Linked DNA regions of Callithrix jacchus. The protein of the gene in region 1 interacts with the protein of each later gene in a biochemical or structural test. Links are inferred from orthologs where the notes say so. Each region holds a gene or a part of one and is shown on either strand. Other genes may lie near its edges.

What was found.
Region 2: the proteins of GTF2I (region 1) and USF1 form a complex in vitro, tested with the Homo sapiens proteins (2 studies listed by BioGRID). The link is inferred for Callithrix jacchus from reciprocal best matches to the Homo sapiens genes GTF2I and USF1.

The regions. Positions count from the first base shown.
Region 1 is NC_133503.1:9,011,792-9,015,600, reverse strand, and holds part of GTF2I (general transcription factor II-I), read left to right. Parts: intron 1-1,000; coding exon 1,001-1,184; intron 1,185-2,593; coding exon 2,594-2,622; intron 2,623-3,809. UniProt on the Homo sapiens protein: Interacts with the basal transcription machinery by coordinating the formation of a multiprotein complex at the C-FOS promoter, and linking specific signal responsive activator complexes.
Region 2 is NC_133519.1:20,900,103-20,904,424, forward strand, and holds the end of USF1 (upstream stimulatory factor 1), read right to left. Parts: intron 4,191-4,322; coding exon 4,141-4,190; intron 3,969-4,140; coding exon 3,853-3,968; intron 3,514-3,852; coding exon 3,412-3,513; intron 3,151-3,411; coding exon 2,955-3,150; intron 2,718-2,954; coding exon 2,630-2,717; intron 2,183-2,629; coding exon 2,124-2,182; intron 1,978-2,123; coding exon 1,883-1,977; intron 1,649-1,882; coding exon 1,520-1,648; intron 1,335-1,519; coding exon 1,245-1,334; 3' UTR 594-1,244; downstream 1-593. Other genes in the region: TSTD1 (thiosulfate:glutathione sulfurtransferase), read right to left, coding at 1-23, 234-243.

The DNA.
Region 1 (3,809 bases):
GTGTTAGGCCGGGTGTGGTGGCTCACACCTGTAATCCCAGCACTTTGGGAGGCTGAGGTGGGTGGATCACAAGGTCAAGAAATCGAGACCATTCTGACCAACATGGAGAAACCCCGTCTCTTTTAAAAATACAAAAATTTAGCTGGGCATGGTGGCACGTGCTTGTAATCCCAGCTACTCAGGAGGCTGAGGCAGGAGAATTGCTTGAACCCAGGAGGCAGAGGTTTCAGTGAGCTGAGATCGCGCCATTGCACTCCAGCCTGGGTAACAAGAGCGAAACTCCGTCTCAAAAAAATACAAAAATTAGCTGGGCATGATGGAGGTGCCTGTAGTCCCAGCTACTCGGGAGGCTGAGGCAGGAGAATTGCTTGAACCGGGAAGGCGGAGGTTGCGGTGAGCCAAGATTGCACCATTGCACTCCAGTCTGGGCAACAAGAGCGAAACTCCATCTCCAAATGAAGGAATGAATGTTTTGTTTGTGTTAAATTTATTTAATAAGATACCATTAGTGTTATACTATGGATGGTTAGTGTGAAAGTTAATGAATTTAAGGTTCACCGTCTGGCAGTGTGGCTCATGCTTGTAATCCCAGAACTTTGGGAGGCTGAGGCGGGTGGATCAGCTGAAGCCAGGAGTTCAAGACCAGCCTGGCCAACATGGTGGAACCCTGTCTCTACCAAAAAATACAAAAATTAGCTGGGTATGATAGTGCATGCCTGTAATCCCAGCTACTCAGGAAGTTGAGGCAGGAGAATTGCTTGAACCTGAGATCAAGCCACTGCACTCCAGCCTGGGCGACAGAGTGAGACTCTGTTTCAAAAAAAACTAACCAAAAAAAAAAAATTAAGGTTTATATTTAAATTTGTTTGAAGTGTACAAAGATCTTAGTTAACAGCAGAGACAGTCTTTACAATAAATGTTGATCTTGTGCTTTTTACAGACTTTTTAAAGTAATAGATTAATGTCTGCTATTGTGCTTTTTGTCTCACCATCACTACAGGTGAAGCTATTGGTATGGGTTTTCCTGTCAAAGTTCCCTACAGGAAAATCACAATTAACCCTGGCTGTGTGGTGGTTGATGGTATGCCCCCTGGGGTGTCCTTCAAAGCCCCCAGCTACCTGGAAATCAGCTCCATGAGAAGGATCTTAGATTCTGCCGAGTTTATCAAATTCACGGTCATTAGGTAAGTGAGTTTCCTGCTCAGTCACGGGAACAAATCCTGAGCTCATGAGGCTGAGCCATCTAAAATGCAGTCACAGGGAGACGTTGAATCAGGCTTCCTATGCAGTGCAGTGACCAAAGGAAGAGAACTTGTTTTGTTATTAGGATGTTAGATGCTTTTCTGCCTAAGCGTTGGCAAACCAGCACTGCTAGGTTCAGCCTGCCTCCTGTTTTTAGAGTCTTTCTGAAACACAGCTACATCCATGTTATTCATGGCTGCTTTCCTGTCACAGGGAGTAAGTAGCTGGGGCCGGGGCAGCATGGCCTCCGGAGTCTAAAATATTTTCTCTCTAGCGCTTTATAGAAAAACCTTGGCCTGTAATCCCAGCACTTTGGGAGACGGAGGCAGTTGGATCACCTGAGGTCAGGAGTTCAAGACCAGCATGGCCAACATGGTCTTGCGCTCCTGTTCAACATGGTAAAACCCTGTCTCTACAAAAATACAACAATTAGCCGGGCATGATGGCAGGTGCCTGCAATCCCAGCTACTCGGGAGGCTGAGGCAGGAGAATCACTTGAACTTGGGAGGCGGAGGTTGCAGTGAAGCAAGATTGTGCCACTGCACTCCAGCCTGGGCGACAGAGCGAGACTCGGTCTCAAAACCAGGAAAGCCTTGCCAACCTCTGTCTTAGGCACCTTGTCAGGGCTTTGGGTCAGGCAGATTGGATGTCACCTCAGCCATTCGTTAGCCGGGTCACTCTGTTAGTTGTCTGTAAATGAGAGTGCTCATTGTCCCCCTTGAGAGTGTCAGCTCCTGTCCATAGGAATAGGCATGATGACTGTACCCACCCCCGACAGCATTGAGAACGCCACATTCCTTCTCGTGTCCTTGTCACAATAAGAGATGCCCACCTGAGGACCAATCCCAGGTTATCTTCCCTATTCTCTTCCAGCCCCCAGAAACTTACTACGACTCCACCTTCCCAATCCATTCGTCCAGCTGCCACTGTCTCTAGTTCAGATCTCTTAGGACTGGCACTCAGAAATCTCATAATACATCCTCTTGAGGCTTCTCCTCATTCACTCGTCTTCTTCCATCCTTCCTTCCCTAAAAATCCCATGTTTTTGTTCCACTTCGCCATGGCCATTCTCCATATCGTTCCCAGGAGTTAAGCAAAAAGCCTCTTCCATTGTTGCGTTTGAGTCACTCTGTTCCCTGCTCTGCATTTTATTGTGAAACACTTCCTAACCATGTTCTCATTATTCATACATATCTGTCCCTTCCATAAGTTTACAAGGTTGTGGGTAATATTTCTTGTGGTGGCACATAAGTGACACGGGCTGGGTATGAGCTGAATGAACAGTCACACCTGTCAGTTCTTGCGGAGTGGAAATAAATTGTTCTACCTTACACTCTGTTTCTCTCTTTAGACCATTTCCGGGACTTGTGATTAATAACCGTGAGTATTTTGTGAAGCGTTTGTCTTTTTGCTTTCCCTGGGGTCTGACGTGTGTGTGTGAGTGTGTATACATGCTTACAGTATCTCGTGTTACCTCACTACGTCAGTAACCGTGCAAACAGTCGTCTTAGCCCTCAGTAAAAACACCCGGCATTTCCTCGCTATAAAATGATTCAGACTCCTCAACTTTTCCTATCCCCGATGAACTTAATCATAAAATGGTAATAACAGCACCAGTCTGGGGACGGGAGGTTTCCAATAGATGGAAAGCAGCTAGAATAGGTGTCAGCAAGCTCCTGCTGATGTGTGCGCATAAAGTTTTATTGAAACCACTATCCTGTCCATTTGTTAATGGCAGAGTTGAGAGGTCACAGCAGCCAGTGTATGACCTGCAAAATCTAACACCCTTACTGACTGGCTCTGTAAGAAAACACGTTTGCAGCCCCTAACCTGGAATAGTGACACGGGCTATGAGCCCACAGTACGTGCTTCGCCCGTGGTATGGGCTCGGCAGACACAGCCTCTGTTTATCACTGCTGTTATTGCTGTTCTAACCACTGGGCTTGAATTTCGTGGCAGAGTAGGTGGTTTATTTTGTCTGTGCCTGCTTCCGTTACTATTTAAGCACACTGACTGGCACACGCCAGGCTCTCAGATACTGCTGAGTGAGTGAACACATACCAGTGTCTTTAGTTCCTTCATGTTTGTGTCATTTTCAAAAGTATTTTCCACAAAACTTAATTTTGTGAGTACGTTTTGTTTTCTTAACTTCCTTATTAAAAATGTATAAAAGTTGGGCCGGGCGCGGTGGCTCACGCCTGTAATCCCAGCACTCTGGGAGGCCGAGGCAGGTGGATCACAAGGTCAACAGATCGAGATCATCCTGGCCAACATGGTGAAACCCCGTCTCTACTAAAAAATACAAAAATTAGGTGGGCGTGGTGGTCCACACCTGTAGTCCCAGCTACTCGGGAGGCTGAGGCAGGAGAATTCCTTGTACCCAGGAGGCGGAGGTTGCAATGAGCCGAGATCGCGCCCCTGCACTCCAGCCTGGCAACAGAGCGAGACTCCATCTCAAAAAAAAAAAAAAAAAAAAAATGTATAACAGCAGGGCCAGGCATGGTGGCTCACGCCTGTAATCCCAGCACTTTGGGAGGCCAAGGCAGGCAGATCACTTGAAGTCAGGC
Region 2 (4,322 bases), on another chromosome or scaffold:
TTCAGGGAGCGAGACCGTGGGCGCTGAGGAAGGGGCACGACAGACTTCAGGAGAGGGGGCCTCGGAGTCACGGCCACCACGGCGCCCCCTCACCTGGCAGCGCCCCTCCGCAGTAGGGTGTGCACGAGGACCCCTTGGCTACGCCCCTTCGCTCCCCACCCCCCCTTGCCGCCACGCCTCAATCCAGGGGGCCGCGAGGACCGAACTCGGCCCCAGGAATCCCCCACAGGTACCTCCAGCCATGGTGTGTGCAGCAACCGGTAGTCTCCCGAGCGCGGGCCCGGCCCGCCCCCTCAGCACCCGCAGCATCTCGGTCACTGAGACCGGATCCGGAAGCAAGGGTACCGCCTCCCGCACCGCCCCCGCAGCACCTGTTCGCGGCGCCGCTAGCACCATCCCACCGCAGGAGTCCTTAATATTCTCCAGCGTAAGCCATAAACGACATACCGGTCTGGGCTAGGAACCAGGACGCAGGGTAATGAGTACAGGAGCAGCACCCCACCCTGAACTTGCCCCAGCCCATACTGGTCAAAGGGCAATGTGCCCCTCCCCTTCAGCCTGTGGCCCACAAAAGGAAGAAAAGCAGACAACTGTGGCTTTGAACAGTTTTATCTTTAAAAAAAAAAAAAAAGAAAAAAAAAATCACCCCCACAAGGGGGAAGGCCCCAAGTGGGCCCCTGCCTGTAGTTCTCCCTGGCTCCAGAGATGTCTGCACAGGCCTCAGCTTCTTGCTGGCCAATCTCCTCTTCATGGGCACCAGCCACTGCTAAACATCCTTCCCCCATTTCTTGTGTAAGCTTGCTCCCCTGAGCAGCAGGGTGCATGTCTAAACCTCAGCTCCAGGGAAAGGAAGAACCAATGGAAGTGCCAGAGTCCTGGGGCAAGCCAGAGCATCACCCGTCAGCAGACCTCTGCTGGGCACTCTAAGCAAGCACAGGACAAGCCCCCCAGTTTAGTGTGTCCAGTATCCAGCATGGAGGCAGCACATGCATTGTGCGAGAGGAACGCAAGGGCCCAGGGGCTGCGTGGTGGGGGTGGGCAAGGCTGTCAGTGCACGTTCACATTGTGTGTTTCACACCACTGCAGGCTGCCATATCACAGGGCCTCAGTTCAAAGACACACCTTCTGAAACCCCCCCCAGTCCCCTGCCAGAAGTGGGCAGTGAAGGAAAGGGGCACGGGATTAGGCTGTTGCTTCCTGGGCTATCTGCAGTTCTTGGGCCCAAAGCCCCTGGATCCCCATAGTTAGTTGCTGTCATTCTTGATGACGACCTCTAATCCGTGGTGCCGCAACTGAGCTCGCAGCAGCAGATTCTTGTTTTTAAGATCTTCCACCTGACATGGGAAGGAGAGAGTAAATGGAATGGGTAGTAAAGCTGGCACTACCAAGCCCCTGAATGTATTCAGACATCCACTGGTGAGAGACGAAGCCCTCTCCATGGAGAACAAAGTAGAGGGTGTCAAACTGGGTCAGTGGCTAGTAGAGCTGAGAAGGGCTGCACTGGGGGTGGGCATCTGACCTGCTGTCGAAGCACGTCATTGTCCAGCTGCAGTTGGTCGAGCCCCTGCAGCTCTTCAGACAAGCGGTGGTTACTCTGCCGAAGCTCCTGGATATAATCACAAGCTTTGGATAGAATCCCACCTTTACTCTGCAAGATAAGGCCGACAAAATGAGGACTAGGATTTGAGATACCCAGCTTGCTTTCCAAAAGTAGGTTCACACTTTGGACCTCATTTTCCCCTAAGAAAGGTGGTATAGTATCTCCCAGGGATACAGGAACTTCAGGGAGAGGTCATGTGTGCCCTACTCTCTACCATTTCTGGAAACAATACCAGGAGACAGAATTCAGGCATCCTGCCCACTACCAGGGTCTTTCCATGACCTGGCCAGACTTGGTGCTCTCCATAGAGCAGTCTGGGATGATCTTGGAGAGCTGCACGATCCAGTTGTTGATCTTGTCTCGGCGGCGGCGCTCCACTGTGGAGCAAAGTGGAGGACAAGGTGACTCCGTGAAAACTCACTGCAAGTCCCAGGGTAAAAGTACCTAACCCCTCCTCCCCTCAGACATCACTGCTGTCCTAGGCCCACCAGACAGTTCCTAGCTCCACACAGATCTTACCTACCTTCATTGTGCTGAGCTCTGCGTTTCTCATCTCGAGTTGTCCGAGGAGCTTCTGACTTCCTGACAATAGAGCCCAGGGTGACCAGGGTAAGAGAAGGATAAAATACGTGATTGGAGTTTAGGGTTAAAGAATTATACACGATTTAGCAGGTATTAAGGCCACTTAAGGCTAGATGGGTGAAGTGTGTCACACCTGTAATCCCAGCACTTTGGGAGGCTGAGGCAGGTGGATCAATTGAGGTTGGAAGTTCAAGACAAGCCTTGCCAACATGGTGAAACCCTGTCTCTACTAAAAATACAAAAATTAGCCAGGCATGGTGGTATACATCTGTAGTTCCAGTGACTCGGGAGACTGAGGCATGAGAATTGCTTGAACCCTGGAGACAGAGGTTACAGTGAGCTGAGATTATACCACTGCACTCTAGCCTGGGTGACAGAGCAAGACTGTCTCAAAAACAAACAAACAAAACCACTTATGGAATCTGAGAAGAAACAAGGGTCACTCACGGGGAATAAGGGTGAGTCCTAGGGGCAATTGAGCGCTGGCTTCCTCCCTGCAGTACTTCTTGTGGTGACATCATTACAAAAAACTGACCTGTGAAGACACAGGATGATTCTGTCAGGACATGAGTAGGAACCTCACCATGCCCTGAGGTGAAGACCCTGGGCCCCCCCTCTAAAAAGAACATGCTAAAAGAAGAGCATCCCCAGACTCACTGCCTGCCCAGGTCCTAATGATCACTAAGAGTCATGAGTGAAGGCTCACTGCCTACCAGTCATGTCCCACAGCCTATCCTACCCTTCCAGCCAGCATCCTCCCGAAATATCTCACCAGTGCCAGGAGGGGTCGCCTGCCCCAGCAGTGCCTCTGAGCCCTGGGTAGTAACAACAGCAGCTGTACTCCCCGATGTGGTACCCCCTGCCCCATCTCCCACTGCCGTGCTGGGGAAGTAAGTATAGTGCGTCTCTGCAGCTGTCCCCTCTGTGTCAACTGCATCATCACTGGTGAAAGCACCCTGGATCACTGCCTGGGAAGGGGAGCAAGAGAACAGATTCAACAGTCAAAAACTTCTTCCCACTATACCACTTTGCAGCTTCTATCCCTTGGGGTAGCGGGTAGGGTGGAGAAGACAGAGAGAGAGAAAAACGTCCAGAAAGGGAGAGCCTAGTGTTTTGGGACAAGGTAGCCCTAGATGCCTCACTGTTCCTAGCTTCACCCCCATCCTATTGCTTCCCTTCTTCATCTTACTTCTCAGAACTCTAGTCATCTCCCAACCAATATCCTGTACCTGGGTCATGGATTGAGTGGCAGGGTAGCCACTGATGGCACCAGTGCCCTCAGTCTGGCCATCCAGCTGCCCTTCAGACACCTGGATCACCCTGTACATCACCTAGAAGCGTAGAGGAAGGCAGAGGGAGGGGAAGAGAGAAGAACAGATTAAGTGCTGGGAATCCTAGGGCCCCTCATAAAGCTTCCCTTGGATAGGGCCCCAAAACAAGAATCCTTCAGAGACACAGATTCAGCCATTCTTCCTTCTTTCTCCACACACAGGTTTCAGCATACATCTAACCTCACACCAGTCTCTACTCCAGTATTCGCACCTCCCTCCCCTGCAACAATCTATGCTTTCAGCTCATCCTCCAAGCCAGGTCACCCCAAGACATGTTCAATTACCTCCCTCAATCCCAACCCCAAATAACACCTACAGCCACCTGGCCCCCTCCCTTACCTGGCCCCCATTCTCAGTTCGGAAGACGTACTTGACGTTGGGGTCAGGGAAGGTGGCAGCTGACTGGATGCTGGCAATAGCCACACTGGTTGGATCCTCCCCAGTAGCCACTGCACCTGAATTAAAAGAACAAAGGAAAAGTCTGCCTTTCTCCCCACCGCCCCCCACCCCACACCATCCCCATTCCACTTTCATGTCATTGAAGGAGGATGCACAGGAGATGGTCTGGTCAGGGAGGAAGTGAGCCCATGGTGGGTTCTTAGCCGTGGTTCTGTTTCTAGCACTCACCTTCCTGAATCTGCACTGTCCCCTCTTCCGTTTCAGCTGTTTTCTGCTGCCTGTTTATGGTGAAAGGACAAAAGGAAGAATATGGGAAGAAGTGAATGAGAAACTCACTGGCCCAGTAACATATGGCTGCAAACTCATTGGCATTCCCAACAGATGCTGGGGTAGGTTAGAATAACAACTAG